Astyanax mexicanus: one gene and its partners. The protein of the gene in region 2 binds, or shares a complex with, the protein of the main gene of each other region. Links are inferred from orthologs where the notes say so. Each region holds a gene or a part of one and is shown on either strand. Other genes may lie near its edges. The genes, in order: fdx2, nfs1 and LYR motif-containing protein 4.

What was found.
Region 1: the proteins of nfs1 (region 2) and fdx2 are in contact, whole or in part, in a cryo-EM structure (PDB 8RMC), measured with the Homo sapiens proteins. The link is inferred for Astyanax mexicanus from reciprocal best matches to the Homo sapiens genes NFS1 and FDX2. Residues at the interface, in NP_066923.3 of Homo sapiens: Gln153, Lys157, Leu160, Asp161, Arg164, Ala168, Tyr175, Ala384, Ser385, Leu386, Glu387, Pro388, Tyr390, Arg393, Gln456, His457; in NP_001384335.1 of Homo sapiens: Ala104, Cys105, Glu106, Ala110, Cys111, Pro141, Leu142, Ile169, Thr170, Arg171, Asn172, Phe173, Tyr174, Val175, Asp176, His178, Lys181.
Region 3: the proteins of nfs1 (region 2) and LYR motif-containing protein 4 are in contact, whole or in part, in a crystal structure (PDB 6W1D), measured with the Homo sapiens proteins. The link is inferred for Astyanax mexicanus from reciprocal best matches to the Homo sapiens genes NFS1 and LYRM4. Residues at the interface, in NP_066923.3 of Homo sapiens: Leu56, Arg57, Pro58, Leu59, Pro68, Leu69, Pro71, Arg72, Leu74, Asp75, Leu78, Glu314, Tyr317, Arg321, Asp372, Arg412, Phe413, Thr414, Thr415, Glu417, Glu418, Tyr421; in NP_065141.3 of Homo sapiens: Phe23, Tyr26, Asn27, Tyr28, Thr30, Tyr31, Arg34, Arg35, Asp38, Val65, Arg68, Gln69, Ile72, Thr78, Asp79, Lys80, Leu81, Ile82, Ile83, Asn85.

Annotation. Positions count from the first base shown.
Region 1 is NC_064412.1:31,743,791-31,754,929, forward strand, and holds the start of fdx2 (ferredoxin-2, mitochondrial), read right to left. Parts: upstream 4,362-11,139; 5' UTR 4,334-4,361; coding exon 4,153-4,333; intron 2,602-4,152; coding exon 2,547-2,601; intron 2,083-2,546; coding exon 1,976-2,082; intron 1,398-1,975; coding exon 1,310-1,397; intron 835-1,309; coding exon 678-834; 3' UTR 1-677. UniProt on the Homo sapiens protein: Electron donor, of the core iron-sulfur cluster (ISC) assembly complex, that acts to reduce the persulfide into sulfide during [2Fe-2S] clusters assembly on the scaffolding protein ISCU.
Region 2 is NC_064431.1:18,138,760-18,149,309, forward strand, and holds the start of nfs1 (cysteine desulfurase, mitochondrial), read right to left. Parts: upstream 5,237-10,550; 5' UTR 5,030-5,236; coding exon 4,912-5,029; intron 2,936-4,911; coding exon 2,859-2,935; intron 2,215-2,858; coding exon 2,098-2,214; intron 1,886-2,097; coding exon 1,802-1,885; intron 1,670-1,801; coding exon 1,517-1,669; intron 265-1,516; coding exon 171-264; intron 72-170; coding exon 1-71. Other genes in the region: rbm39a (RNA-binding protein 39a), read right to left, coding at 9,075-9,175, 10,353-10,431.
Region 3 is NC_064413.1:47,013,646-47,024,401, forward strand, and holds the start of LYR motif-containing protein 4, read left to right. Parts: upstream 1-5,460; 5' UTR 5,461-5,571; coding exon 5,572-5,657; intron 5,658-10,756.

The DNA of each region.
Region 1 (11,139 bases), on a different chromosome or scaffold from region 2:
GCTTTCTTTAAACATCTAGAAAAAATGATCTGAATATATGTTGAAACTCATACATACTGTGTGTGCTTACATGAAATGAAACATTCAAAATCTAAATGGGTGTGCAATGGTTAATTTATCTTACACAGCCTCTAGTTTACCTTTACACATATGAATGATTGTCCTGAAACAGAATTGTGCGTCTGACCGCTGTGCGTAACATGGAATGTCTCCTTCACAAAGGCTGACACGTCTGGAACTGTAGGGCTCTAGACCAAAGCGTTTACAATTCTAGAATGGAACTCTGACTCTAGAACTTCCCAGTTAAGTCCCCACATTCCAGCTGAGCAAAAGACATCACATAGTCTACTTCCTGTAAAGCATTAGACCTTCAGAGCCTTTCATCAGTAGATACTAGAGAGTATTCCTGACCACACATCGCTGGAAATTAGGTCAAGTGTACTTTTCATTTAAAATCAGATAGTGCTCATTGAGGAGACACTACCCTATGAGTATGGACTCTTTTAACGCACTCGTGGAGGGAAAAAATACTAAATCAGATCGAGACTTTAGTGCAGGTTCTCCACAGCGCTCTTCACACCTTTATAAAAGGGAGACTCTCAGTCTTCTAGTGAAAAGACTCCTCCCACATTCACCTTCACCCCTGTCCATTGCCCTCTTTTGTCAATCCATCCATATCAGTGTGGTTTGGGCACATGACCATCCACATAGAAGTTTCGTGTGACCTTGGGGAGAGTAAGCTCCATGCCATCCAGCTCTGGGGTCAAAATGATCTGGCAACCCAGGCGTGAGTTCTCCTGCAGCATGGGGGCCATGTCCAACATGTCATCCTCCCTTTAGGGTTTAAGAGAAGTTATGAATACATGTCTATAACGTATGTAGGCCAACAGTAGACATAACAGTACCAGTTCTGGGGGGGTATTCACAAACCATCTAAAATATCCTAAATCACACCTGACACACCAATTATAATTAGGTAGAATTAGGTAGAATAATTAGGTAATCAATATATATAGGGATTTAATTTATAGCCATTTATGTAGCAAGTGTTCTCCCCCAAAGTGTGGAAGTGTGGGGGGGTCTAAACTAGTGGTAAGGACTAACGATTAACTAAACTAACTAAAGGTAAACCAACTAACCTAATCTTTAAGTACAAGGTTAGGTCAGTTAGGTTAGTGTACCTGCCCCTCACAAAACATATAATATTAAATCATTTCCCTCCATAAATAAATTATATTGTCTAATATGTGTTGTCTCAAATGGTTGATTTGGTTCTTCTTAGCTGTCTTTAGGACTTTAGAATTGTTACCTTTCTTCAGGGTCTGGTAGTTTATCAAAATACTCCTCATGTACATAAACATGACACGTAGAGCAGGCCAAGGATGCCTCACAGGCCCCTGAAAACAAAGCAAATTAACAAGTTAATAATCCTGATTAGTTAATAATAATACTAATTACACAACACCAAATGCTGCACACAAAGTAGGTAATACTTTCAGTAGGGACAGATATGGACAATAACATTAAAAGGTCTTCTATGCTTTACTGGCTGCCACTAAGAGCAGGATCCTACAATACAGCATGTCTGATGGTATGTTAATATACTAAGGTTACACAATATTATGGTTTGGAATAGAGTATGAATAATTATGAATAGTTCACATGCAAAACTGATCACAGATCAATTACGTATGTTAAAAATGTTCTGATTCTCGGATGCCAGGGTCCTACAGAAACATTGACTCACATCACTATACTTTTGGCAAAAACAGGTGTAATTTACAACAAAACAGGAAAAAAAAAACACACTTTGTAAAATCTGTGAAACAGTTGGCAAGTTATGTCTAGGATTTCTCAGGACCCTTAAACATTAAGTGTATTGTCTTTGGAAGGTTCAATGCAATTCTATTCCCGAGCACACATATGTTATTATGTAACAATCTCCAGTTTAAGACCGGTATAAACAAGAACTTACCTTCAAGTTCAATGCCTTGTCTTTGCGCAAGATACAAGACATTGTCTCCAACTTTACCCTTTACCGGAATCTTCTGTCCAGACCGATCAATGAACACCACGTTAACACTACAACAAGAGACGTGGGGTAGAAAAGAACATAGGTAAGTAAATAATACAAAAAAAAAACAAAATAAGTAAATACAAATATTTGTTCAAAATAAATGAATAAATGCTGAATAAACATTAAATATTACATGTCATGGGAATTTTGATGCATGCGAATAGTTATTTGTTTGGGGAGCACATCAAAGTGTCAAAAACCTTGCATCTCCATTTTTGCAGTTTTTCACTTAGGGAAAATATTTAAACTGTGTCACTACTGCATGCTAATTTAACCAATAAAAAACGCTTTCAATGGAATAAAATCATTTTACACTTATATGTTTAAAGTCCAGAGTTCTACCATCCCTCTAATATTTCCATTTTTGGATAAACACAAGGTTTTCGCTCCTCAGCAACCATAGATCTGGTGGACATGTACATAGGAAACCTAATATAAAGTTAAAGGGAGGGTAACATAAGTAACATACACATCCTCATCGGTGTCCTCCACGTTCGAGCTGCCCTCCTCACTCTGACGTAGATCTGAAATAATAAACCACAGTGAACAGTTTAGTGAGAACCTCTGCAATGAGTCTAACAAAGACACTCATCTGCTTAACTGCACTGGACTGGACTTTTCCTGCTCTCTTAGCAAAGCTCTTGTAATGAGATTTCCCTGACAGTCCAAAACAAGTTTAACTTGACCAACTAAAGACCAAGCTGCTGAGTAATGCCTGCAAGTACAGCCTGTTACAAGTAGTAACCAAAACCAAAAATATTCCTTAAAAAAAAAAAAAAAAAAAAACTAAATGGGAAGTAGCAAAGTACAAATACTCCTTTAACTTACTTAAGTCGATTTTTTTGTTTAGAATTTGTCTTCACTGGAGTAATTATATTTCAGACGATTTTAAAATGTTTGAGTAAAATTAACATTGTTGCTTTATTCTATAAACTACGCACATCATTTCTCCAAAATTCCAAATAATTTTTTTTTGACATTTATAAAATATATTTGTAGAAATTGAGAAATGGCTGAAATAATAAAAAAGACCTCAAATAATGCAAAGAAAACAAGCTCATATTTAATAAGTTTTAAGAGTTCAGAAATCAATATTTGGTGGAATAACCCTGTCTTTGTTTTTTTTTTTTTTTTTTGCATCTTGGCATGTTCTTCTCCACCAGTATTACACACTGCTTTTGGATAACTTTATGCCACTTCTGGTGCAAAAATTCAAGCAGTTCAGCTTGGTTTGATGGCTTGTGATCATCCATCTTCCTCTTGAATATATCCCAGAGGTTTTCAAATTGATAAAATTAAAGAAACTCATATTTTTAAATGGTCTCATTTTTTTCAGTGCTGTATTTGCATTGTATTAGAATACACTCATTTTCAATTAGCATATACACATCTGAAACAGGGAGCCTAGTGCATCCAATTTTTTTCTTGAGTAAAAAGCTTGAGTTGATACTTCAACTTCTACGGAAGTATTTACACCTTAGTATCCTTTTCTACCTGAGTAATAAATGTAAATACTTTTGAAACCTTTGTAAAAACAACGTCATTAATGAGGAGTTTTTCCTCAATACTCGCGTGGCTGGAGGTACAGCCTCCACTTTTCTGACAGAACTTTGCTGTGAGGATCTGATGGCATTCAGGTACTGAATTTGAATGAACTCTAACTCATTCCAAGAGTAACGTTAGAGGATGGAGCTTTATCAGACCAGAGAATGCAGTTCCAATGCTCCACAACTCCTCTAGGTCCCTCTACCAAGCCTGGAATTCAGCACAATGACTTTAGACTTATGTGAGTCTAATCATCAAGATTATTCAAGCTGTCTGAAGGGTAATGAAGCGTTTGGATACTTTTGAATTAGGAATTTAGACGTAAATAACAGCCATCAAACTCAACCTGTAACATATTTCTGAAACTCAGTAACACCAGACAGTAATTGAAGGTGCTAAACTAGAATAAACACAAATAAAAACGATAATAATTCAGTATCAGCGTGTTAGTTAGAGCTCAGTTCAGACACCCTAAGTTCTCTGATGTTATAAAACCCGCGGTTTGACTTTGGGAGCTCGGATACACTCACTAATGGAGGTCTGCAGCTTTCTGTTGGGGGCTGAGTAGAGCTCCATGGCTCGTCTCCCTCTGGTGGGACCCAGCACGGCTCCGCTGCACATGTTGAGGCGGTAAAACGGACAGACGCTGCAGTCCGGGGCCACTTTACCGAGCCGCACACTCAGAGCACGGACCGCAGCGGCGGCCGCCATGACACTGCTGTCGTCACATGGTCCGCAGTAGCCAATCAGAAAAGAAGACGGAGGAGTGACGTAGCTCTCGTCGGTGTGCAGGTTTATTAAACACAAGTTCAGCTCTGTTTTTATTTTAAGGTCATTATTAATATTTGGTATTAATTTATTATTTTTATTTTATTCTAAATTCACTGTCATTTTTGGTCAGAATGACTATTAAGACATTACATTGCATTACATTACATTGCATTTGGCAGACGCTTTTGTCCAAAGCGACTTACAATAATGAAGTACAAAAGTAATAGGAATTAAGATAAACCATTTTAGATAGGGCTCAAAGGAGGTCGAAGGGAAATAAAGGGATAGAGAAGTGAAGGAGGGGAAGAAGGAAATGGGGTTAGAATTATTATGATTATTTTCTTTTTTTTAATTTTATATATTAAGTTTTTTTTTTTTTAGGTAAAACGTTAAATGAGAAAGATTAAGGATAAAATATCAAGTAACAGAAGTTTAGAACAAACTGGTAGACCACTGAAAACTTGTTGAGGGAGAAAAAGAGGAATAAAATGATCTCCACTATTGCTACAGATCTGTAATTAATGATTGATGAGTTTAATAAAGATAAGATCTCCTATTTAACTAAGTTTCAGTGTTGGTGGGTCCTTAACCACCCTACAATGGTCGTTGTGTAATTTGGCCGCATGAGGGCGCTATAGGACAAATGATACGCATGTAAAGGGTTACTCAAGGTAAACTGCTAAGAGAAATGTGTCAAAGTCATGACCAGAAGATGAGTATTTTTCCTCTTTTTACACACAGTATTGTAAATAACACGACAGATGTGATGATATACAGCATCCCAATCACTGCCATGTAGTTACCAGCCATAATAGAACCCTCTTTACCTGCTCATCTGCCTAAATAACACACAGGTCAGCTGGTAAACTCTCGGATGCAAATAACATTTGCACATAGGCTTTCTAATCTGGCTAGCCATCTCCTGTGCACCCTATAGTAGAGCATTGTGTCTGCATGCTGGCTTCCTGAAAGAGATCACAACAAGTTCTTTTGTCTTTACACAACCAACTTAAACAAAGCCTTCCTCTGGCCTTTATGTCGCAATACTAAAGCTAACACTTTAACACTTAACTTTAACCTTAACGGAGCTCATAGAATGTCAAACAGTATTTATTTTGACATATTTGAATACTAAACATTTGGGAAATGAAAGCTCAAACAATGTTACATAGCAGTCTTGAATCATTATATTTACACCCCCAATATTTACGTAAACCCAACATACTACAGAAAACTCTACTCAAAGCAGTAGAGTACTCAAAACAGTAAAATGAGATGAAAACTTTGCCAGTACATAATGTTGTTGATACTGGAGAGAAGCCTATCACCTCCAGAATTGGTTCGCCAAGACGTGAAAGCCAATGTGGAGCTAAGCTAAAAGCTAATACTAGCTAATGCCATCCTTTACCATATCTTCTCTTCATTGTCCACTCACCTGAAAAAAAAAAAAAACTACAGTTAAACAAACACTGGTGTGACTGGTTAGCATGCTGGCTATTCTACCTAGCAAGCAATATATCATTATTTTATTGTATTGTGATAGAACCTCTTATAAGCATATCGAGGCACTGGAGGCTCTAGTGGTGGGGCCACAAGGGCATTGGCCCCAGCTGAAATCTGATTGCCCCCCTGAAAAGCCTCTGTCCAAAATACACAAAAATTTAAAAACAAATAAAGAAAAGACTGGCAAAATCCAAACTGAAATCATTTTCCAATAAAATTTAAAAATATATGTTTGATATATGTTACATGTTTAGAATTTGCAACATTGTTTCTTCATGTGATAATATTTTTAACCAGATCATGCAGCTCTAGCAGTGTGTAATTATGTAAACCAAGGGTGGTGGCTTTCATGCTGGTCATATCAATATTTGAATCATTTGTATCATATCGACCGAAATTAAGAAATATATTGTGATATAGATTTTTGCAATATCATCCAGCCCTAAAGCTACCTATTGCTTTATTTTTCTCAATTTTTCTGTCTTCTTCAGAACCACATTGCTGAGTATGTACAGTAGAAATCAAACGTTCAGAAAGCAGAAGGCTGGCCAATCGGTTTAGAATGTCGCTTCACCTCGTCATCATTTATTTATATAAAGGTAAGAAAATCTCTATATGTCACAGCTACAAGTCATGTCCTCCCATAAAAACGACCGGTTTCTCTGTTGGTAAAAGCATTAAATAGGTTTGTTGAACATTTTTCAACTTAAACAAAGTCAAATACATTATTATTTATATATATATATATATATATATATATATATATATATATATATATATATATATATATATATATATATATATATATATATATATATATATATTTGCCACATTTACAATAGAATGCTTAAAAAATATTTTCTGGATTAAAATAGGCCTAAATGCACAGGTCTTCTACTTTATTTAATAACTATTGTGTTAATATTTACCATTTAGGCTAATATATATTATGTGTGATTTGACTGTCATCACAAAAATATGCTGAGCTTCTCATTCTGTGCCATAGGCGAACAAGTGTAATCAAGTGGAAATCATGCAGTGACACATCTGTTATCAACCACCACTTTCCTTTTCCAGTTCTGTACATCAGTCATACAATATTATTCTCAGAAGAGCTTCACACATTCTGACTTCCAAAAAAATTTCCAAAAAGTGACATAATAATTTGACTTTTTGATCGAATTTCAAATCCCATGTTTTGCTAACTACTTCTAAAGTATATCACAATTATTCTATTTATTTATTGAATAAAAAAACATGTAGAAAATATGAAAAGTAGAAAGTCTTGTAAAAAGCCTTATTTAATTTGTTCACTCCAGTGAGTTAAAGAAACTAAGTAAAAAATAAAAAAACTTTATTATATACAAATTCAGTCTTATGTAAAGTATATATAAACATGTTCCTGTAAGTTACTGTAAAATGATTTTTAAGCTAAAAGCCATTTTCAGACATTTCTAGCTTCTATATTCACCATGAACTTTTACAAAATATAAAAAATAACTGCTGTGTTATATATTATAATAATACACATAAATAAAAATGGGCATATATATGATAAGATCTTTAAAATATTTGAAAGCATAAACTAAACATATAACAAAAACAACTGAATTCATAAAAAGAACTAATAGTTGAAAGTAATATAGTAATGTGTTTCTAATCTTTAAATCAGGCAGAAAAATAAACACTGAAATATGGGCATGCATGATAATTCAATTCAATTTTATTTATATAGCATTTGAATAACATGATTAAATAGCATCATTACAGTAATTTAAAAGCATAAATGTATATGTACATATACTGCAATTTAAAACAACTTAATTCAAAATTAGAACTACTAGTGGGAAGTAATGTGATACGTAATGTGTTTCTAATTATCTTTGGAAAACACCTGTAGTTTATTTTAGTAGGTCTGTTTAGTTCATGTTTCCACTCTGGTATTTTGATAAGATCACACTTGAGAACGACAATCCAGCCGGAACAGAAAGCCACATGTGTAATGTGTCTGAAGTGTGAAGTGATGTGTGATGTGCAGTGGTATCATTTGTGGAATTGTTGTGAAAATGCACAAACCAAAGTGGGTTTAGAACATTTTGAGTTTTTTAACAAAGTCCTTGTAGTATCTTGGTTTATATCTTTGATGATCTGGTTTCAGTGGCACCTGTGAAGGAATAAGACAACAAGTGAAGAAACAGTCACTGTTTTGAAGTTGATGTGCTGGAAGCAGAACAAATAGGCCAGTATAAGAATCAGAGACATTTGGCTTATATATACCTGTACATTTACATTTATTCTGTTTATTGTTTTCTGTCTGTGCACCTTGTGTTTTGTCTTTTGCCTTTGCCCCCATATTATTTTATCATATGTTTTTATCAATATGTTATAAATATTTAATTGTGCTTTTTATAACTGATTAACTGTTTAATTTAAATCATTTCATTGTTTATTTTTTTATTTTTTATTCTGCCCAAAAAAAGAGTAAAATCAGATCAGCCAGCCTGTATCAAACAGAGTTAGATCTGTTCACTGCTTTTAATGGATTATGTTGACAGATTTATAAAATTTAATTAAAAAAAGAATTAAATTATTTAAATTAACAAGTAATCAGAAACAAAAAGCACAGTTAAACAACAATATCATGGATTATATAGCATTATTTAAGCTTCAATAACTAAATCTGATTTTAATTTTTAATTTACCATTTTATCTTTAAACTCAGTAATTTTGAAGTTTATGGACTCTCTTTTCCTGCTCTTTTTGTGGATCTGTTTATTAAAGTTTGTTCAATTCATTTTTCAGTGTTATTATTTTTCCAAAGGGATTATTGTCTGATTTTTGCTCCCATTTATTGAATTCTATTAATGTTACATATTCTTTTACACTCAAAGTATATTAATATTATTATATCAACAACACAGCTACAGTTGATACAATCATTTCATTTATTTATTTTTTTTAATGATTTTAATCCTCAAATCTTGACCAAAACATTGGCCTGCAGCTTGAAAACCACTGATGTAGAGCACCTAAACAGAGGCTGCATTCACTGGCAGAAATATTTTTTATTATTAGTGAAAGTTAGTATACATTCTACACAATGACTAGCATGCGGTACAGTAGCACATCTACAGTAGAATTTTTTTTTGGATCACTGCTCTGACTTCTTGACAAGTCAAAGAGTCAAGGTGAGAACACGCTTCAGATTTAGGTTTAGATAAAAGATCTCAGTCTCAGTAGAGAGATAAACAGCAGGATCTCAGTGGTAAAGACTGCGAGGGTGCGGAGGAGCACCATCAGAGCAAAGCTGTCTTCATGCAGGGAGCAAGAATTACAGCAGCTAAGAGCCGTTCATCTGCTGACCACGTGTTAACCAGCTCTCTCAGACTTCAGCCAGACTACACAGCTTCTTCATCACACACAAACACAGACAGCCTGATACAGTTCCTGCCCACAGCGGGCTCTTCATCTCCACCTACCTGAGTTCTCTCACCACTGTAACCTGACGAGTCGGGGCTGACGGGTTTTGATAGGCAAAGTGTAAAGTGCAAATTAGGTCAGAACTTTCCCAGCACTCAGGATCTTCACCAGCTGATTAAAACCATAAAACCATGTAATAAAAACAATAAAACCATATAATTAAAACTGTTTAGTACTCCTTAATACACACACATCTTATACAGTGCCTGTAGAGCAATACTGCCCATACAATATGACTCTTTGAAGCAGATAAAAATTTAGCTACTGGCACCATGTCTAGTAATTTTGGGATGAGTTGAGGTGGTGATCCTCCAGCATTCTTATGCTCTAACAACTGAATTCAATCTAATCTCACAACAATGCTCCAAAACCTAGTAGAAAATGCACAATAAAGACAGCTAATCCAGTAGTATAATGGATATATAAAAATACAATAATAAAACAGTAAATGTTCTGCTTTTTTTATATTTTTTATTCATTTTAACAGTATGAAACCCTGTGCATTTTATTTTTTTTTGTAAATATCACATAATTATTTTTTATTACATAATTATTATTTATTCTCTATAAACATAATCTGATTTCTCTGCACTTACAGATGAGTGCTGAGCTCTTTGTCTATTATGATAAAAATAATAACATCTGATTTAATCATAAATCTAGTGTTATGTTTCACAGATGTTTTATCGCTCTTTAACCCTGATAGATACGGCTTTCATTATTACATAATCTGGAGCAATGTTAACAAAAAGAATGTGTGTGTGTGCTCTCTCTCTCTCCCTTTTCTTTTTATCTCAAATTTCTGCTTATTTTCTTTCTCTCTCTCTCTCTCTCTCTCTCTCTCTCTCTCTCTCTCCCTCGCTCTCTTGCTTGCAACAATTTGCATGTGGTTTTGCATAGGTTTACCTTGCAGTTCATTTATCAATAAAAAAAAACACATGCCTTTACTAATCCAGTGTATGTGAGAAGAGTGTCATTGTTTGTTTTTACATTTTGAGCTTGTAGTCAATAAAACCTAAGGAAAAAAAACATATATAGATATCATTAACATTAATACCATCAATAATAAAAACAACATTAATTATAGAAATGATTAATAACACATAAAATTACAAACCACACACAAGTAATTGGAACAACCATAGCACATTATATTATTTTCAAAAACAGCAACATTAGCAACACACGCAGCCAAGGCTTCATAGCTATTAAATGCAAACATTTGGGCACCTCTAAAGAAATTAAAAAACGTTTTGCTCATTTTCCAAAGTGAAATAAGTGAACCTTAATTATTCTCTTTTTTATTGCATTTATTTGATTTTATTATGAATGTTATTATTATAGCATTATCATAAATAATATGTTCCCTCCTTCAGCCAGATGTTGAACTTAACATCACATAAAAAATAATTATGTATTATTGTGTACTTTAATGTTATAAGTAAAAAGTAATTAGAGTCTCTGTAGAAGATATGACTTAGGATTTTCAAATCTTTGCATAGCACAGTATTTATAATAATGAATAAAATTATAATAGGCCTAGTATTATCACATTATACTATTATGCTATTAAGATGTATTAGTTTTAAAATGATAATAGTGTGGTAAGGTTCAGTATGGTGGGGTGAAGTGTGGAGTGTGTTGATGAGGTGGCATAATGATACATATTTAAATGAAAGAGGTGCTGTGTGATTTTTACCCAGGGGGAGCTGCCATTTATACAATTTCTTTCTTTTTTTGTCTGTGGAAAATAAAGTGACTAA
Region 2 (10,550 bases):
GATGGGGATTTTTCCGACAGCCTGGGCAGCGTCAGTGTGGAAGAACACGTTCTTGGACCTACATATTGTACCTATAACAGAGAACAGGAGAGTCAGCGTACTGTAGTGCTCTGGGTTTTGTGGATTTTAGTGATAGTCATTATGTGCAGTTGACAGTTAAGGAGGATTACCAATCTCTTTAATTGGCTGTTTGACTCCGATCTCGTTGTTGACAGTCATCACCGAAACCAGGCTGGTATCTGGACGTATCGTTTCCACGAGTTGCTGAAAAATTGTGGGAAAATGGAACAATATGAAAATTGACAATGTGGAAATGTTTTCCTGACTTTGACATTAGAGTCAGGTGATATAGTGGTAATACAGTTTACAGCATAAAAGTATTAAGACATAACGGTATCTCCAAATGAGGACTAGTTGCTGATTCAAGACTACCAATTACATCAAAGTTTACATAAACTATCAATTTTCTAACTGCTTCCGCTGCTGTCACCAGAATATACTTTTTTTTTTTTTTCTGCTACGACATTTCTGTAAATCTGCTTTATAACAATCATCAGTTGTAAAAAGCGCTAGATAAACATGATTTGATTTTACAAACATGTATCTCAAAACGGCTGCTATGTTAGGCTCCTTGCATGAAGTATGTTTCTAGTAGGGGTGTAACGGTACATGCATTCTTTAGGAACCGCCACGGTATGGGGGTCACGGTTCGTTTTGTGCAGACGCATGGAGAATAGATGGACGCAGGCAGTTTATAGGAGAATTGTTGAACCACAGGAGTGTTGCACCCAGAAAGTGTAGCTGTAGCACTGTTGCTATTAGCAACTCGCTACTGACTTAGCTTAGCCTGTCCTGAGAAGTTAACTTCTAACTTCAACCCAACTACTTATCCCCACTGCTTCTAAGCAGCTTCTAGATGTGAAATCAGACAGGTCCCGAGCTATTATACTTTAGCAAGTGACATGTTCACTTCTTTGGCTATGCTCCCTTATGCAGTGATAGAGAACCCTGGTTTTAAATATTTAATAAAAGTGCTCAAGCCCTGTTACATCATCACATCCCAAAAAAAAAAAAAAAAACACAAGCGAGAAGCTATACAGAAGGCCCAGCGTGAGACATTTTAGCTGCATAGCGAAGCGGACTCGAGCCTAGCCATTTTAACCTAGCCTTGCCTAGCCTAGCTGGCTACGTGCCTGTGTGGTTACATCATCACGCACTGACGTAGCCCAGCTACGGGGGCTGAATGTGTTCAGCTCTGCGGCGAGCTGACGCCAGTAAAAAAACGCCTGTCCGTGACAGATTCTGTAAATAATACATATCGATATGCCACAAAACTGATATCAACATTTCTTATCGCGATAAATACCGATATCGAATTATTATCCAGGCCTAGCCCAGCCTCTTTATTTCTTCTACCGAACCGTGGGATAATACCAAGATGTGAACCGAACCGAGAATTTCTGTATTATTACACTCCTAGTTTCAGGTCCTACTTTTGACAGGCAATGAATCGTACCTGTAGATCAATTAATCCATTGCTTTTAACAGGCAAGTATGTTACATCAAAGCCCTCAGATTCCAGAACACGACAGGAGTCCAGCACACACTTGTGCTCCGTCTGTGTGGTGATGACATGCTTCTTCCTCGCCTTATAGAACCGTGCCACACCCTGGAGATCATTAAAAAAATATGTAAGCTAACACAAAATGCTAAATCCCAAACCTAAAATAGTTTCTCATAGTAGTCTAAGCATATCTAATACTATGCTTCTGTTCTTGCTAGCAAGCACAGAAATACTTACTTTGATTGACATATTGTTGGACTCTGTGGCGCCGCTGGTGAACACAATCTCTCGTGGATCGGCCCCAATAAGATCAGCTACTTGCTGGAAGTGGAAATAAACACTGGCATTCACATAAACAATGCATTTTTGTCTTAACCCAAATATTTTGTTTTGGATTCTGCAAGTAAATCGTAGCCATTATTCCAGAACATCATGTGACGCCGAGACAAAGACGTAACTCTTTGCACAATTATTTGCAGGAGCGGCCAAGACAAACATTCATTCTGATGGAGGAAAGAACACAACAATCTTACTTTTCTCGCTTTTTCCATTGCAGTCTCGCTTTCCCAGCCGTAAGCGTGTGTCCTCGAGTGCGGATTGCCGTAGTAGTTCACTTGGTAGGGAAGCATGGCGTCCAGAACTCGAGGATCCTGTACAGGCAAATAAAGTCTTACTCCTTTATTGTTTTTACTGAAATTAGTTATTAAATTAGTTTATCCTGCTTTTGTTTGAGTAACTGTCTCTCTTGTCCAGAGAAGACTTTCTACTAGATTCTTTAAACATAGTTTTAAGGACGTGGTTTATTCAATTTTACAGCCTCAACCCTAACCATAGCCATAACTAAAACGAACACCTTTAAGTCGGTGTTGTGTCAAAATCAGCACCCCCTCCATGTAAAGCACCCTCTCTTTGGAGTGCGTCTTCTTGATAAATGTGGAGATAGACAGCTTAAACTTACCTAGTCAAAGTCAAGGTTATCTCAGTCATGGTTACATACATAGCAACATAGCCCACGCTCCCGAGAGAGGGTGCTTTTCCTGAAGTTTGTTTACAGGAACGTCGCATCTTGTTCATACTGCATGCATACCATGCTCAAGTTCAAGTGAAGCGTTCCCTGCCTGGGCACGGTTTAGAATGATCACACTAGTCAATCGAGCCGTAGTTTGGGAGGTAACCGCTCCTTGGCACGGCAAGGATTGCTGAGTGTGAGGACACACTAAGACTTTATCACAACTAACTTTGTATATTAGCTGTAAAAGCGTGACATAAAGATCTGGACATATGATTAAATTACCATTGGTGTTGTTGCCTGGAAGTCCATATAGAGCGGCCGAAGCTCATCTTTCTCCAGCTCTCTACTCTTAATCAGCTCTGTGGAGAAAAAGAGAGTGGTTGACCAAACATCAGATATTCTGATACAGCAGAATATGATAAAATACTCCTAAATAAGCAAAAACCAGGAACTAGAACATTATCGGTTACACAAAATATAACAATCATTAGTCAACCTTAGAACTGAGTTTAATTAGGCCTGAGTTTAGTCAATCTTAAGCCTGAGTATAGTTAAGCCTGAGTTTAGGTAACACTAGGCCTGAGTTTAGTTACGCCTGAATTTAGTTAGGCCTAGGGTTGAGTTTAGTTTGGCCTGAGTTTAGGTAAACCTAGGCTTGAGTTGACTTAAGCTTGAGTTTAGTTAGGCCAGAGTTTAGTCAACCTGAGGTCTGAGTTTAGTTAAACCTAAGGTTGAGTTTAGTTATGCCTGAGTTTAGTTAAGCCTGAGTTTAGTCAACCTTAGGCCTGAGTTCAGTTAAGCCTAGGCTTGAGTTTACTTAAGCATGAGTTTAGTTAGGCCTGAGTTGAGACAACCCTAGGGCGGAGTTTGTTGAGGCTGAGTTTAGTTAGGCCTGAGTTTAGTTAAGCCTGCGTTTAGGCGACCTTAGGCCTGAGATTAGTTAAACCTGAGTTTAGTCAAACTTAGGCCTGAGATTAGTTAGGCCTTGGTTTAGGCAACCCTAGGACTGAGTTTAGTCAGGCCTGAGTTTAGTCAACCCTAGGCCAGAGTTTAGTTAGGCCTGGGTTTAGGCAACCCTAGGACTGAGTTTAGCCTAAGTTTAGTTAGAACTGAATTTAGATAACGAAAGGACTGAGTTTAGCTAGGTCCGAGTTTAGTTAGAACGGAGTTTAGTTAGAACTGAGTTTAGTTAACGCTAGGACTGAGTTTAGTTAACGCTAGGACTGAGTTTAGTTAACGCTAGGACTGAGTTTAGTTAACGCTAGGACTGAGTTTACTAGGTACTGAGTTAAGTACTGAGTTTAGTTAGGACTGAGTTTAGATAACGACAGGACTGAGTTTAGCTAGGTCCGAGTTTAGTTAGAACAGAGTTTGGTTAACGCTAGTACTGAGTTAAGTTAGCAACATTTCTGTCCAAGAAGGAGAATCCACTGACAACAACACTGGCAGAACTGGCAAAGTCCCTGCTGTTCAAAAACTTCGATGCACAACATAAAGCCAATGTTTACGCCTTCTTAATTGATTAATAACCTATATCTGATACTTAATACAATACATTCAAAGTTGAAAGTAATGTAATTAAATTTCTTTTTTTTACTTGCTTTACTTATTTATTTATTTGTGTTTTTTTTATTGGAAATGTAACTTATGTAGTGAATTTAAAAATATAAAACTTATCTAAACAAGGAAACCAATTAGTCATTCATTATCAAGTGAAATGTCTAGTTTTCGCGTGTATTTTTAATTGCTCTTTAAGCAAGCAACTATGTTTTATCCGATAACTTAATTAATCAAATGGAGTAACTAAGTTACTCGATTACTAAAATAATCGATAGCTGCAGCACTAATTAGGACGGAATTAAGGTAACCTTAAAACTGAATTTAGTTACTATTAAGACTAAGTTTAGTTAACACTAGGACTGGGTTTAGTTTAGACTGAGCTAAAACAGCTGACAATGGTGTAGAACACTTATCTTAGCCAGGTTAAATAAAAACAAACGCAGAAGCTAAGCTAATTTAGCTAGCAAGCTAGGCTAGTTAACTGACGGTGACATTAGTTACCTAACCTAATTGGCTACAGTGACCGTTACTGAGCTAGGCTAACGAGGCTAACTAACTTAGGCTAGCGATTTAAGCTCAGGATTTCATTAGTTAGCAAGGTGGCTAACCTAAGTTAGTTAACTAACTCCAACTGAGGCTCGCGGAGTAACTTAGCTGAAGTGCGTCATGAGGACAGAGAGAGAGCTTAAAGCTACTGGGAGGATTTTATAATAATTAAGAACTTCATAACTAGCTCTTTGGATAAATAACTAACTGGCCTCGCCAGGTCACCAACCTCTGCCTCTCTGCGCGGCCGGAGCGGAGGCTGGAGCCCCCGGGCAGTTCAGGCGGGCGCTGGTAGAAACGCCGCGTATGGAGCCCAGAAGCTTCCTCGTGACGCTCCTGCTCATCATCTTTTCAAAACACCGGTTTATTCCTCTAGTAAAAGTACTGAACTGCTCCGCGGAGCGATAAATAACCCCGTATCAGTAATCTCCCGCAGCAGGAAGGGGCTGAACCCCGCGGTAACAGCGGCTCTAATCCACACCGCTCCGGTACTGAGGGACGAACCACCACACCACCAACCTCACTCACACACAGCGGCGCTTACACAACACGCTGCTGACCTCTGAGGGGCGGGGCGATGATCAGCCGAGTACCTGATTGGACAAATGTTTACAGTGTAGGCGGGATTTAAAAGGTGAACGAAATGTAATTGGTTCGAGGCGGGACTTCTCCGCAGGAAATCTGAAATATCAGTCAAAAGAATTTCCGATTTTGATGAACAAATTGTTAATATGTTTTTGTGTTTATCTAACCAGGAGGTCGCACACAGCAATTCAAATAATAATAATAATAATAATACGTGGGTTTATAATGTGGGTTTATAACAACTTTCTGAGGGATCTGGTAGTCTTAGTAAATATACTTTTTTCCAACATGTTAACCTTTACTATCAGTTTTTTTGTATTATTCATTTGCTGTGTTGCCAGTTCCTCAATAAAACATTAAATAATAATAATAATAATAATAACAACAATAATAATAATAATAATAATAATAATTAAACATATTTACAAAGTGTATCTAAAATATTCTAAAAATGTATTATTATAATAATACAAATAATAATAATAATAATATATAAAATCCCTTTCAAATATTCTAAAATATATTGATAATAATAAAAAAAATAATAATAATACAAATAATAATAACAATGACAATAAAATGACAATAAGTGCCTTTCAAATATTCTAAGAATATAATGGTAATAATAATAATAATAATAATAATAATAATAATAAAAATAATAATAATAATAATAATAATCATTATTATTATTATTATTATTATTATTATTAGTAGTAGTAGTAGTAGTATTATTACTATTGGGACAAACATATAAATGACAAACATCAGACATACCATATAGATGACAAGAACAAATAACAGTACATAGACAAGAACCAAGAAGAGTTAAGTTGGAAAAGAAAACTTTTTTTAATTTTATTTTTTCCAAATATTTGACCCAACAAAATTAACAACAAATAATCACAGTAAAATCGATTGATTAACATTATCCAAAATATAAAGTAAACTACATGAAATTATCAAACAAACCAGAATATGTTTTATATTTTTAAATCTTCAAAATTCACTCTTGTTTAGATGACAGCTTTGCACGTCGGCTGGATTTTCTCAGTCATCTTTATGGGGTAGAATATGCGCTTTCAGTTAACAGCTGTGCTGAATTCGTCAAGAGTTATTTACTTGCATTTTTTGCTTCTTAATGTGTTTGAGAGCATCAGTTGTTGTGTTGTGAAGAGGTAGAGTTGATATACAGTGAATAGTCCTATTTGAGTTGTATTCTAATCCATATTATAGCAAAAACTACTCAGCTACGTAAAGAAAAAATACTTTAGCAAATGAAGGTCAATCCGAAAAATTTCAAGAACTTTAAAAGTATCCTCTAGTGCAATCGCAAAGATCATCAAAAACTTTATGATGAAACTGGTTCTCATTAGGACCGCCCCATGAAAGGAAGAGCAGAAAGTAACTCTGTTGCACAGGATAGGTTCCTTAAGTTTAAGTTGATTTCTTATGTGTTCCTTCATAGTATGAATAACTTCAGTATTCATTTAGAATGAAGGAAATAAGAAAAGAGAAACATTGAATGAGTCAATGTGTCCAAACTTTTGACTGGTACTGTATTTCACCCATTTTTCTTTAAATGTGATCATAAAGGGTGTTTATCTTTGTACAGTAAAACCATGGAATTACAATACATGTACCTGACTCAAAAACTTTCTGTAATCAAAACAGGCCAATTATCAATTATACTTTTTAGCAATAAATTAATGAACAACTGAGTCAACATGGTTTACAAACTCATATCTAGGCCACTATGTTCAGTGTACAAACCTTAACATCACAAGTTTCCATATATATATATATATATATTTAAATTTCTCATTAATCATTATAGACTGCAAAGTAAGCAGGTCTTACTGATTAGCACACTGAAGCTAGCTATGAAGCAGGTCCAAGGTCAAAGCAGTTAGCAGAAGTTAGTGTTAAAAATAGAACTGAAACATGGGTCAAGTGTGGCAGTGTGTTTGGACTGTCTACCTCACACTTGAGGCAGATGCACAGGCTGCTACAGGAGAGAAAAGTAGGGCTCTGTCGGATTTAGAGAATGAAAACTGTGCCACTCCTCTGATCCGCCTTGCTGTGGCAGTTCAAGCTTTGGATCAGGCAAACCCAGACATGTGGGGAAAGTTACTGAGCCTTACACAAGACCTAGCTGGAATTTCAAATTTCAAATATACAGCACCCCAAACACATTCTTTACCCAAATTTATAATAATCTAGATCTTTACATAAAGAAAGAGGAAAACTGTTTTTAATTTACAATACAGAACAATGGTTTGGAAATGCCACACTCAGTATTTCATTTGTATTATTTTCTGTAGTAAACAAAACAAATATATACACAAGGTGTCAATCGATTTAAAATCATACATTTAAATCACTGTAGAATTATGTGATTCACAAAATTGTGTAAATCATGATTATTCCAACCTTTTTTCTTTATTATCAAAAGTCTAGGTTTTTGATAATGGGTATTTAAACGTGAAGTAAAGAATCAGTGTTAGAAACACTTCGATTTGTATTACTGGTATCATGAATAAAGTTATGACTACATTGTTTAATTGCTGTTTTTTAACTGTATTTTTGGGAAGGGGCAGTAATAATAGTGTAGTGTGATTTACACCTGGCAGAAAATATCCTTTTTTCTGAATTATTTCATCTCAGGGTAGATTTGCTGTATTACATCTCAGGGTAGTTTTGATGCTTTTTAAACCAGAATATTGTAATGCACCGAGTTACTAAGTTTAACTGAGGGTTTTATTGAAGAAAATAAACGCTGGTGTAGATCCATGTTCCACCTTCAACATCTTAAAAAAGGAAACATGTCATCAGCTGTGTGTGTTAACAGAGATTGTTTGCATGACTAAACAAGTGTGTGAAAGAGAGCAAAACTTTAACATAAATAAAAGGCAAAGTTAATGTGTTAAAGTTTACAGATTAGCTGAACACATTAACAAGTTAATGTTGTAAGGCAAAGTTGGAGAGCAGTAAGGAAAAGCAGTAACAAGTATTTTGGAACCTCATCACTGCTCTAAAACATGTCCAGCTGATTTCACATACTCTCTCTTGAAAGTAGAGACGACATTCTCTTCTTATCCCGCAACTCTCTTTACACTTATGTTTTCTTTTAAAACAGAAAGCACTCTTCGTTTCTCAAGATTGCTAGATTTTAACTAAACAGGTTGCAAACACCTCACACTTTTTTCAGCATCATGGCTTTATTTGAAATGAACTTTTCAAGGACTTTACAAAATCAAATCTGCATTAGAAAAACAAGATGCTTTGAAACCAGTCTCTACGAACATACAGGCTCTCATCACCTACTTAGTTCCCACAGCTCACAGAGCCCAAAACACAGATTTTGTAGATATTTAGCCAATCTGCAGGATTTTCAATTCATTCAAAAAGACTCAACATTTTAGTTTTGAGAGGCTAACTGTACATTTCCTTAAGTGGAACTCATGCCAATCAATCACCACAATGATTGATCAATCACAAAGACAATATATGTTGAGGAAAACAAAATTTGAAACCTGTATCAACAAAGTTCAAAAGCCCCCTCTGAACCCCGACCAACCCCCCAAAAACAAACAAAAAAAAAAACTGTACAAACAAACCAACCACAACTCCTTTCTCTGATGCCCAAAAAACATATGGGCACATTAAGATGAAACTTAAACCTCTTGAACTCCAGTTCGAAAAGAAACTGTCATAGCTTGCAGGACTGGAATATGAATATTTTACCCAAAGAGTTAAAAAGAGAAAGGCTGAAAATAAAAATAGCTCCAGGGATGAGGGAAAGGATCACCGGCGAATTGGCATGAGGAGTTGTGTTGCTTGCACCGACTCAGGGAAGAGATTGTGGTATGTTGGCAGAGGGACGTATGCAGCTTTGATCATTTTACCTGAGAAAACAAACATAAAATGAGAATTATAAATCAGACTGCCAGATAATGTAAGTACAGACTTGTCTTTTTTTACCGTCATTGTTTTAGAAGTTCACTTCCACCAGGTCCAGCTGCCTTGCACCGTGCCTGAGCACCACAATGCAGACTTTGTGGATGCAGCATGGCAGACATCCATTTTTGTACATGTTCATCATTCTGCAAATACTTATTATTGCTAACACTTTTAATGCTTGTCCTTGTTCTGCTTCAAATATTCATAATACTATTAACCACTGATACCTTTTTTATTCCTACTAAAGTGAATAATGGTAAGTTTTCTTTTACTCATTATCTCAAATTTTAAACTATTAACACAATAACCAGTGTATTTGGAAAGCTCTCTACTGTGTATTATAAACAACCCTGTCATCCCCCATATACTGTTCTTCCTCTTTCATTCTTTCAGAAGGAGTTCATTACAAAAGTATGTGATGCTGACAAACACGCAAACTGAGCAGGTATAGTGAGGTATAGCCAAATAGTGAGTAATAGGATAGTTTAATGTTTAAGGTGTCAAAATCTAAATTGGGACACTTCACATCATATTAGACATCCTTTACAGCTGCGTGTTTTAGAAGGCTTTTAATTCAAGAGTTTCTGCACTAACTGTCTTTATATAAAAGTGCTTCTCAATCCTGATCCTGGCAACCCCCCTTAACTGCACACAAAAATGATTTCTGCTCCCAACACACCTGATCAACTAATCAGCTCATTAATAAGAGCTTTTAGAGTGGCAGGGCTGAGTAAAGCAGAGGCATTCTGGAAAATGTGCAGGGTATGGGAGGTGACAGGGCCAGGATTGAGAAACAGAGGGAGAGCTATAAAGAGAACAAGAGCACAAGAGAGAGAGAAAGAGCACCTGAGAATCTACAGCACAGCGACTGAGTGTTGCCAATTTGGACAAAAATCGAAGCATGGATGAAAGTAGTGAATGGCTTAATAGGTAGCTTGCTGGGTTAGCATCCTTGCTAACTGGCCAGAGTGACAAAGTACAAGTGTACTAGGTGGTCAAAGCGCATGCCCATTACACAAAATGTGTACATGTTTGCAGGTCTGCTTTTAGAGCTGAAAGATTTTTTGGGGCTCAGTACAGATCACCCTACTATACATAAAGAAAGACAAAGATAACACATACCTCCAAACCAACGGCCATGTAATGCACTAACCGCTGCCATTGCAGCAGGGATTGTCGGACACTTCACATATACATTCCCCTAGAAACAAAGAGACTTCATGTTAGAAATTGCTATTAAATTAAACTGCCCAGAATCTAATAGCACTTTTGACTTCCAGTCTCTGGTTAAACTCCCTCAAAAAAAATCATGAGTACATA
Region 3 (10,756 bases), on a different chromosome or scaffold from region 2:
TCAGTACATTGAGGTTGTTTGTCCTTGTCTATTTAACTTATAAAAATCTAACTAAGAGCTCGTCAGTGCACTTCAGGTCTGTGCTGATCATAATATAATAGCTCTGCATAGGGAATTACACCATCCAACATCTCTTTTAAAACCATGGGTATTATTTGAGATGGCACAATGCGTTTTATACACCATCAGATGTCTATGATTTATTTTTGCAAGCAGAGTTTTAAATATGTCCAGCGTCTGCTGCATTTTGCTGGTCTTATCCCTGCAGCTGCTCCTAACATGAGTCATCTGCTGCCAGAAGTTTCCCAACTAGCAGTGGCTAAAACACATCAGTATTCAGAGCTGGATGAGGAGCCAATTTGGAAGAAAAAATTAATAAAATAAACCCCTCCAACAACCTCTCATCTCAAACAAGACTGATTGATATTCAAGGACATCTGGGATATCAATTAGAAGTTGTGTGACACTGCATGAGGTCTTTGGATGTGACGCAAAACCAACAAGAGAGTCCGACAGTCGATTTGATCACTGTGAAACTGATGGTGAGTGAACGTTCTTATATATAGATGGGAAAATTAGATATAATAAAGTCAGTGCAGACTGAAAAAGCACATCCAACCCTCCCACAATGAGCAATTATATTATACAAACTACATGTTTGTCCAAATTGACAGCACCTGTTTTACTTAACACTGATTCTTATTCTCAGCTGTCTGTTTCAGTAATCAATTAGCAGAATTGGTAAAATTCCTACTAGGGACGCCTATTAGCATTTCAGGTAAAGGTGCCAGTATCCCATATTTTAATAGATTGGGTACTGCCTATTTAAATCCCAATCCAGTTAGTCTTTACTTTAAACACAGTGTTCAGAACACCATTAGTGGACATTAGGGCTGGCCCGAATAGCGTTTTTTGAGCTCCGGATATTCGGCACTGATTCGCGAATATTCGAATATTCGTTTTTAAAAAAAGAGGTAAAAAAAAAAATTAAAAAAAGCAAATCACGGCCCCTTTAATCCACTGAAAAATGTTCAATTTGCTCTGACCAACGAGACATATTCACCCCGGATTTTTGGTGTTTTTATCCCGGATTTTTGTGTTTTCACCCCATATTTTTTCTGTGTTTTTAGCCCAGATTTCTTGGTGTTTTCATCCCGGAATTTCTGCTGCCCCACACGCGGCTTATCCGCTGCGTAAGCAGGCTAGGAGGCTGCTGCTGCACGGTTTCTCCGCTGCGCAAGCCAGCCCAGTAAATTGCTGTTTGTGTTTTCACACTTAGGTTATTTGCTTAAAAAAAACAAACAAAAAAAACGTTTGTTCAGGAAGTATTTTATATTCTTAAACATTGTTAATTATATTAGAGGACAGTCATTGTAAACTGTACTTGGTCTATTTCGGTTAAAGGATTGTGCAGGGCATATTACTGATTTTGTATTTTTGCACTTGGGCTATAAGCTCAATATTAAATATTTCGTTTGTTTAGAAATTATTTTATATTTTTAAACCATGTTAAATTATATTAGAGTAGAGGAAAGTCATTGTTAATGACGTTATTGTACTTGGTCTATTTCTGTTTAAGGATTGTGCAGGGCATAGCCGTATTACTGATTTTGTATTTTTGCACTTGGGCTATAAGCTCAATATTAAATATTTTGTTTGCTTAGAAATTATTTTATATTTTTAAACCATTTTAAATTATATTAGATAAGAGGAAATTCGTTCAGACATCATTTTTGTAGGCCAGGCTTTTGTAACCGATTTAGCCCCTACTGTTGCCACATTACCCCTTACGTTTTATTATATAAATCAGTTTCGAAGAGCCTGCATTTTTTTTTTATCATGTATAATAGAGGTCTGCGCGAGACTGATTTTTAAACCCACTCTTCCATGCTCCCGCGTTTCTGTCTCGTTACCACTCCGCAAAAAAATTGCTTCTTTTAATCCCGCGCCCGCCCGCCACATACACATTTCTGCCGCTCCCGCCCCACGTTCCTAATATAAATTAAATAAACTACATTTAATGCTTCAAATTTACTTATATATTTATTAAAACAGCAGCGCTGAATAGTGCGGTCCCGTTCCTTACCCCAGTCCAAACACCATCGGTGTGTGCGTGTGTGTGTCGGTCCATCCTGCGCGTTGAGAGTTTTCTTTAGGTTTTTTTTTTTTTTTTACAATTATTACAGTTTTCTTAACTATTTATTAATTTGCTCCCGCATCGTCTGGATTAAACTCCCGCTCCAGCCAATAACAGTTCAGTTCTGTCCCGCGCGCAAGATATTCTGACGGGACCCGCGAGAACAGAAGTGGTTAGAGTGAGGTGGAACTCTGGAAAGGAGAAAAAAAACGAATATCCGAATACCAAAATTAAAAACCGAATACCTACTCAACGAACGAATATCCGAATACCCGAATATTCGGGTCCAGCCCTAGTGGACATTTTTAAGGCCCCATTAATAGACATTACTGCCCAGCACCACTAAACACTGTGCTCAGAACCGAGTTTATTGCTAATGTCCATACACACAGGCTACAAAAACACAAATCACAGCAGATTAACAAGCTGTAAGCCAGTTATTTCACATCAGTATTCAACAAAGAACAACAGATTTCAGTCAAACACATTAAGAGGCAAGAAATTTAAGTAATTAACTCCTGACGAGGTACAGCTGTTAACTGAAAGCCATTCCAAGTGACTCTACCTCATAAAGCTGACTGAAAAAATTCAGCCAAGATATGCAAAGCTGTCATCTACCCAAGACGTGCTACTTAGAAGAATCTAAAATATAAAACATATTCTGGTTTGTTTAATACTTAAATCCATGTGTTTTTCTCCATAGGTCGTATGTAGGGTTGCAGCGGTAACCGGTTTCACGGTATACCATGGTATTAAAATGCACGGTTATCATACCGTGTGTGTTTGCTTATTACCGGTAAAACGCAAGCCAGCGGAGAAACTCACCCGCGCATGCGCAACTCTGCTCCGCTTCAGCTGCTCAGCACACAGCGGTGAGAACAACAGAAAGTGCATCAGACTAAACAAATCTCCGTCCGCCTAAAAAAAGGCTAAACTAAAATCAGCAGTGTGGGACTATTTCGGATACCCGCCGAACGCAGGATGGTTATCCGATTTGTAATCAATGTGGCCGTAAAGTCACAGCTAAAGGTGGACATACGTCAAACCTGTTCTCCCATCTCCGAGAACACCACCCCGCTGTGCAGCGCAAAGTATGTGTTTAGCTTATAATTTTAATCTGAACCTAAATAAAACCTCTTTGTAGTCGTGCACAACCCATGCAGTAAGCGCCCGCAAAAGCGCTGAGTTATCCGAAATTTGGGCACGCAGGTACAGGCGTGAAGTGCGTGCTACGATGGATTCACGTGTCCGTGTAAAGGTCCTGGCCGGACTGGATGTGAAAGACGCCATTCATTTACATGCGTTCATTTTCAAATTCTGACGTGCCTGTTTTTCAAATGTTAAAACCAGACTCGGTGTGAAAGCCTTAAAATAGAAATCTCTATTGTGAGGATCATGTCAGAAATAAATCCCCTCTTTCTGCAGTATCTGGTTATATACCAACTTGGCAGTAAAACGGACGTTTACAACAGTTGTTGATCAGACACTGACCCAGGCTCAGTTTATCAGATATTAAATAATTTAAACTTAAATAATTGTACTGAATAGTTTAAACACAGGATCTTTACTTCTTAGAGGACATGTAATGTGTGTAACGTGTGTGTATGTGTGTATATATATTATATATATTTATATATATTTTTTTTATATACACTCTTAATGCCCTTAAGAGTAGTGGAAAAAAAATTTTTCCTTCACCTGATGGTATACAGCTTATTTTTTTTTAAGGAGACATTAAAATTATAATTGTTCCAGGTTTCTACAATAAATAGTTAATTGAACAAAAAACCTTTGTTGTAATTTCTTTAAGGGTCAGTTTAATAATATATGTAACAAACTGTGATACCGTGATAACCGTGATACCGCGGTATTTTCTGAGACGGTTATCATACCGTGAAAATCTCATACCGTTGCAACCCTAGTCGTATGATTTTAGTATTAATCTACAAAGGATATTGTTTTATACAACTTTTTAAATAATGAAAAAACAAACAGCATATTTAAGGTGTATCCTACTTTTAACTGGTAATATTCATATGTTTACATACTTTCAATGTCAATATATTTCAATAATGCTGAATGCAAAATGCTTTTTAATAATGCTGAAGTGAAAACATTCACTAAACAGTCACATTCACAAACTCCTTCAACACGTGCCGACATGTTCATGCTCTCTCTCTCTCTCTCTCTCTCTCACACTATCTCAGTCTCCCTGTGTCTCTCTCTCACACACACTTTCTCAGGTTCTTTATCTGTCTCTCTCACACACACACTCTCAGTCTCTCTATCTGTCTCTCTCTCTCAGTCTCTCTCTCAGTCTCTCTGTCAATCTCGTGCTCAGTCTCTCTACCTCTGTCTTTCCAGCTCCTACACAGTCTCTCGCTCTCTCACAGTCAGACTCTGTCTCTCCTTCACACACATTCTCTCTCGCAGTCTCTCTCTCCCACACACAGTCTCTCGCTCTCAGTAACTGTCTCTCTTTTGCTCAGACTCTGTCTCTCACTCACACACTTTCTCTCTGTGTCCCTTTCTCTCTCTCTTCACAAAGAGAGATACTGGCCAGGCTAAGCTTGCTGTGTGACTGTCTAGGAAGAACAAATTGAAGGAGGGTGGCTCTCAGGATGCTGGAGACATGCTTAAAACTCTGATAAAGATTAGATTGAAAATTGATTTAGTTTTTTAATGAAGATTATTTGGTCTTGTGCACACAGAAAAATAGAAAAGCCACTTATTTTAGTTTGACCCTTTTTTATTTTTTTTTTGTGTAATGTAAATTTTTAATAGTAAAATAAAGCGTGCCAAAAGTCAAAAGTGTCTCTTTCTCTCTCTCTCTCTCTCTTACTCACACACATTCTCTCTATGTGTGCATCTTTCTGTCTCTCTCTCTCTCTTTCTTTCTCCCTCTCTCTCTCACTCTCTCTCTCCCACTTTCCCTCTCTCTCTCTCTCTCTCTCTCTAACTATATATATATATATATATATATAATATCTCAGTGACAGTAGTGGAGTTTATCAGTCAGTCTGTAAACAGTAAACACAGTAAACACAGCTATAAACACACAGAGAACGGAGCTGAACCCGGGCTGTGCTCTGAACGCGCAGTATAAATGAGCTGTGAGTTTAGAGAAGAAGGAGGAGGTGAATAATATAAATAATAACAGTATTAAGTTAATAAACATGCAGCCCTCAGACTGTCCCACTCACCTCTCTCAGACCCGCCGCCTGTCAGAAACACGCCTCACCTGCGCGCGAGCCTGATCAATATACACACCCGCCCCGCGCTCAGCGCTGTACACTGATTAATATCTGAATTCGCTTTATTTCTACAGCCTGTTTAAACTATAAAACTGTTTATTTGCTCCGCAGTCGGAGCGCGAGAGGCGATAAAGGCGGGTTTTCTGTTCAGGCAGTGTTTTAGTCGCCTTTGTGGGAAAGATGGCGGCGTCCAGTAGAGCGCAGGTGCTGTCTCTGTACCGGAGTCTGCTGAAGGAGAGCAGGGCTTTCCCCTCCTATAACTACAGGTATTTACACAATTTACCCCCTTAATACCCCACCACACACACCTGCCCTGCGCGCGGGGGCTGTGTGAGGTGGGTGTGTAGACTGTAGAGCTGTTGGGAGTCTGGGTTCTTTTCACTGACAACACAACTCACTGTAGTTATCCCCTTTCTGTTAAATAAATCTCCAATAATTTGCTTTAAAACGTGTTTTCTGTGTTTATTATTTATTTCTCGGTTACTTTGTACCTTTAGAAATCTCCAGCTCTTGTTGTGAAACTTTAAAGCCCATATAAGTGTACACGAATCAGTCAGAAGTATATTGTGTAAGCTCATTAGCTAGACTCCTTTAAAGTCCTTCAGGAAAAAAAGAACTATTGAGAAAGTTCATTTATTTGTATAAATTCTTTACAGCCCGTTTTTTTTTTTTTGTAAACCAGCTTTGGTTTGTAAAAACAAACATATGCACAGGGAAAAAACAAACTGGCAAGCTTTAGGAAGAAGCCTAGCCTAGCTCTGGGGGACCCATGCAAACAAAAACTACTAAGGATTGTGTAATAAATGGTAAAACGTCACCTTACCATAACATAAGGCCATTTCTATTTACTGGTGTACTAAAATAACACGTTTAGCAGTAGTAGAAGAAGGTTTAGCAGTATAAGTATCAGTATTATTAGCATTAGCAGTGGTAAAAACTGTACCACTAGCAGTTGTACTAGCATACGTAGGAGCAGTAGTATTAGCAGTATTATTAGCCATACAGTAGTGGTATTAGCAGAAGTAGTAGCAGTATTATTAGCAGTCGTATTCATATTAGTAATAGAAGTACTAACAGAATGGTAGCAGTATGTGTAGCCGTATTATTAGCAGTAGTAACAGTAGAACTATCATTAGTACTAGCAATAATAGTAGAAGTAGCAGCAGTATTTGTATTTTAAAAAAGTGTTTGCTGTAGTAGTAGTAGTAGTAGTAGTAGTATAAGTAACAGTAGTACTATTAGAAGTACTAGCAGTAGTAGCAGTATTATTAGCAGCAGTGACAGTAGAACTAGCATTAGTACTAGCAATAATAGAAGTAGCAGCAATATTTGTATTATAAGCAGTATTTGTTGTAGTAGTAGTAGTAGTAGTAGTAGTAGTAGTAGTGGTAGTAGAAGTAACAGTAGTACTATTAGAAGTACTAGCAGTAGTAGCAGTATTATTAGCAGTAGTGACAGTAGTATTACCATTACTAGCAATAATAGTATAAGTAGCAGCAGTATTTGTATTATTAGCAGTATTTTAGCAGTAGTAACAGTAGTACTATTAGAAGTAGTAGCAGTAGTACTAGCAATAGTAGTAGAAGTAGCAAACATATTTGTATTATTAGCAGTAGTAGTAATAGTTGTACTGGCAGTAGTAGAAGAAACAGTAGTATTAAAAATAGCTGTACTCGTATAAGTAGCAGAACTCACTGTAGTTTATCCCCTTTTTGTTAAGGGAAAACTCCAGTAAATAGGATTAAAACATGTTTTCTATGTTTTTCTAATGAGCACTGTGATTTATTGGTACATTTAGAAATCTTCAACTCTTGTTGGGCAATTTTAAAATCTATAAGAAAACAATTAAACGTATAAAGAATCAGTCAGAGGTCACATACAGTAGCAGATCATTAGCCAGGGGGCCTTAACAGCCCAGACCCTGACCCATTTAGTAGTTAAAGTTGAGGCCAAAGTTGTTTAAAAAATATATATATATATATATATATATTTGTGTTAAAAAAACACTTTAATGTTTCCAAGTTAATCACATGTTAAGATAATATAACCTTGACCGCACTTAATGTAACTGTTTAGGGTGAAACAGAGTTAGAATTCGAAGCCAACTGGATTCCATTTTCAAAAGACGGTACCACATCTATTAATAAATGCCTGGGTCATGCTTTTATTGTGGGTTTTGAGGTGTGTTTAGTATTGTTATTTTGCTGGTGTTTAATTAAATAAATTCTTCCCTGTACTACTGGTTTTAGGTGATTCGATGTGTAGGGCTAGATTAAGAGCTGTGCCTGTATTTAGGCTGCATTTCACTCTTACAGCTTTATTTTGTACCATTGTATCATTGACAGTCTGAGGGCTGTATGCAGACCAGATTAAAATAACAGTTCATGAAGTTCATCAGGTGGCCTCTCTTTCTTACAGTGAGAGATGGGCTGCTGTGTTTTGTTTTTCCCAAAAGTGGGAAAGGGGGACACACCTGTTTCAGTAAAGCAGTTACAAAACTATAGCATATAGCTGCATTAGATTGTAACAGCTTTATTAGTGTCCTTATATTCAGTCTGTACATGTTTATTTTTTATTATGCTGTGGTGATATGGCAACAGGGTCATTGCATCCATGAAGGTCACACCCCACAACGGATTTAAAGGTTCTGCTGTAAAATACATTGTGGTGGCTTGGTCCAGTTTTTTTTTTTAGACTTACCAAAAAATAGACTTACTGCTGGGGGGTGGGCAGATTCATTTTTATATACTAGCAACAGGGATTTGCTTAAACTGCCCAAGTCCTGTGTTTACTTGGCCACAATACCATCCAATTTTGGATTCTTTTTAAACTGAAAAAAAAATAAAAAATAAAATACAAAGTTTAGTTTGTTTACAGACCAATTGAACACATACAGTAAATGTTAAACCAGCAAGCTTACAGAACACACTCCAATCTGTCTGTCTGAAACTCTACTTATAGTAAACTGTTTAGATGAGAATGATGATTGAGCGACTGGACGGAGCAAATATAGAAATTAGCTTTTTATCTAGATAACTTTAGCTACTAGATTAACCCATCTTCAGAGAGATTTGAGGCACACATTTCATATTTCTTTGCCTGAGTGTATAACAACTTAGGTGGACTTTGTTTTTGTTTTTTTTTCTTCGTTTTTTAATATATATACCCCCCCCCCCCCACCACCACCACCTCTTTTCAGAGAGCTACATAAAATTTAGTGGGTGCCCCCTTTCTGGGTCAATCTTAAATGCACAAGAATGAATTAAGTATTTTGGCCTGTAGTAGCGAGACATAGAGCATATGTGATATATCAGTTATTCATGAGTGATATGTATGAACCATCCTTGTTAAAATGTTTTAGTACTGTGCTATACAGTATTACCATTATACCGCAATCAATCAATCAATTAATCAATCAATCAACCTTTATTTAAAGTACATTGAGGGTGGCCCTCATTTACAATGTAGCTGAGCCAATACATAGGGAAGTGATTGTCAAAGAAAAAGAATAAATAAATAAAAAGACCTAGCACTTTAATAAGATATGAAATAAATAAGATAAAAATAATTTAGTAAGAATCATAAAATCATAGGTAAGAAAATCAAAGGTTATAAAAGAGGTAATAATGCAAGAATGGCATTATTCTTGTTTATTTCCTGTGTATAACTTATTGCTTGTTTCTTGACCTAGATAAGAGCTTATGTTGTACCTGCCTGCATGTTTTAGACAATCTTGAATAACAGTTTTCTAAACCCTGAAACGAAAACCTTCTGCGCATGCAGCCTGCCTCAACACATTCAAACGAGGCCCTTAAACATACATTTTTTCGGTGTTCTTGGCAATTAAACCGAACATTTATTTTTATGAATATACTAATGTAACAAAATAATACTGATTAAGAATAATAATAATAATAATAATAATAATAATAATAATAATAATAAAAACAACAATAATAATAACAATAATAATAACAATAACAATAATAAAGTGTATCAAAATAAATTATGTAATATAATGTAACATAAAGACTTACCACAATACAATAAGTGCAAGCTATTTAGTGTGTGCATATATAACTACAAACATTAAAGCTTCACATTAAATAGCAAAGCAATATAAGAGTAAACTGCTGAAATAGACTGCAGAATATGGCTATTATCACAATATGGATATTTATGTATTTTATGATATTTATTTTATTCTGAAATATATATATATATATATATATATATATATATATATATATATATATATATATATATATATATATATATGTGTGTAATATGTAAAATATATTGTGTAACCCTAAATACATAATTGTTGTGTTTCGTTTCTTATTTTGTAATATCTTACTCTTAAATTTATTTTCTTTACAGAAACAGATATTGAAAACACCTACATATGAGTGTAGCTCAAAGCATTGTTGAAATATTAACTGTATTCTTCATTTTTAAATAGAAAATAACATATTATTCAAATGACGAGTGATCCCAAACTTTTGAGCAGTGGAGTAAATGGCTAATCCGACGGAAAACACTTAATTAGAGCTCAGCCTCAGTCTGAACTTTGCTTCAGTGTGAGAATTCACACTCAGAGCTTTTCTTAGAGATCCTCCAGAGGAGGACAGATAATCAGCACTGCTTTCGGAGGAGAGACTAACATGCAGAGCAGGGAGGTGTCAGTACAGCCCGTGGCTTAGAAAATAGCCAGTTGGAGAGGGTGATTAGGCTTTATTATTGTGTGTAGTGCAGTTGTGTCGTGACATAACCTTGTTTTGGTGTTTTGACAGCTGCTGAAACAGCCTGCTGTGGCTGGCAGATAGGAAGCAGCCTTCAGTGCTGGTCATATTTAGACCCATTTGAGGTGAATTTCAGTGAGTGGCCGTAGCAGACATAACACATAGTGAATACTGTGTAACAGGGACCTGAGGATCAGCTGTGGGAGCCTGCTCCAGAATTTCATTATAAAAATGCAGTCCACTCATATTTAGTCTGGACCGGGGCTGCTAACAATGTGGAAAAAGGGTCCATTCTGTGTAAATAATGAAGATATTTTAGTAGCTGTAAACTAGGTGCATCAGAGGGCCTAATGGGTCTAAATTGGTTGTTGTATTTAATAATATTACAAATTAGAGGCTTGAATCTGAACATTGTTGAATGAATGCAGCTTTAGGAAAGGTCCATCAGTCAGTCCAGTGCGCTTGTGTGGTTTTATGTAGTATAGGCAATTATGAAAAGATTTGCTGATATCTGTTCTTTTCTCTACTAGAGGGGTGTGCCATATCGTATCGTACACAATAGGGGTGGGCAATATTATATCGTATACAATATATCGTGACACAGAAATATCGTGATATTAAAA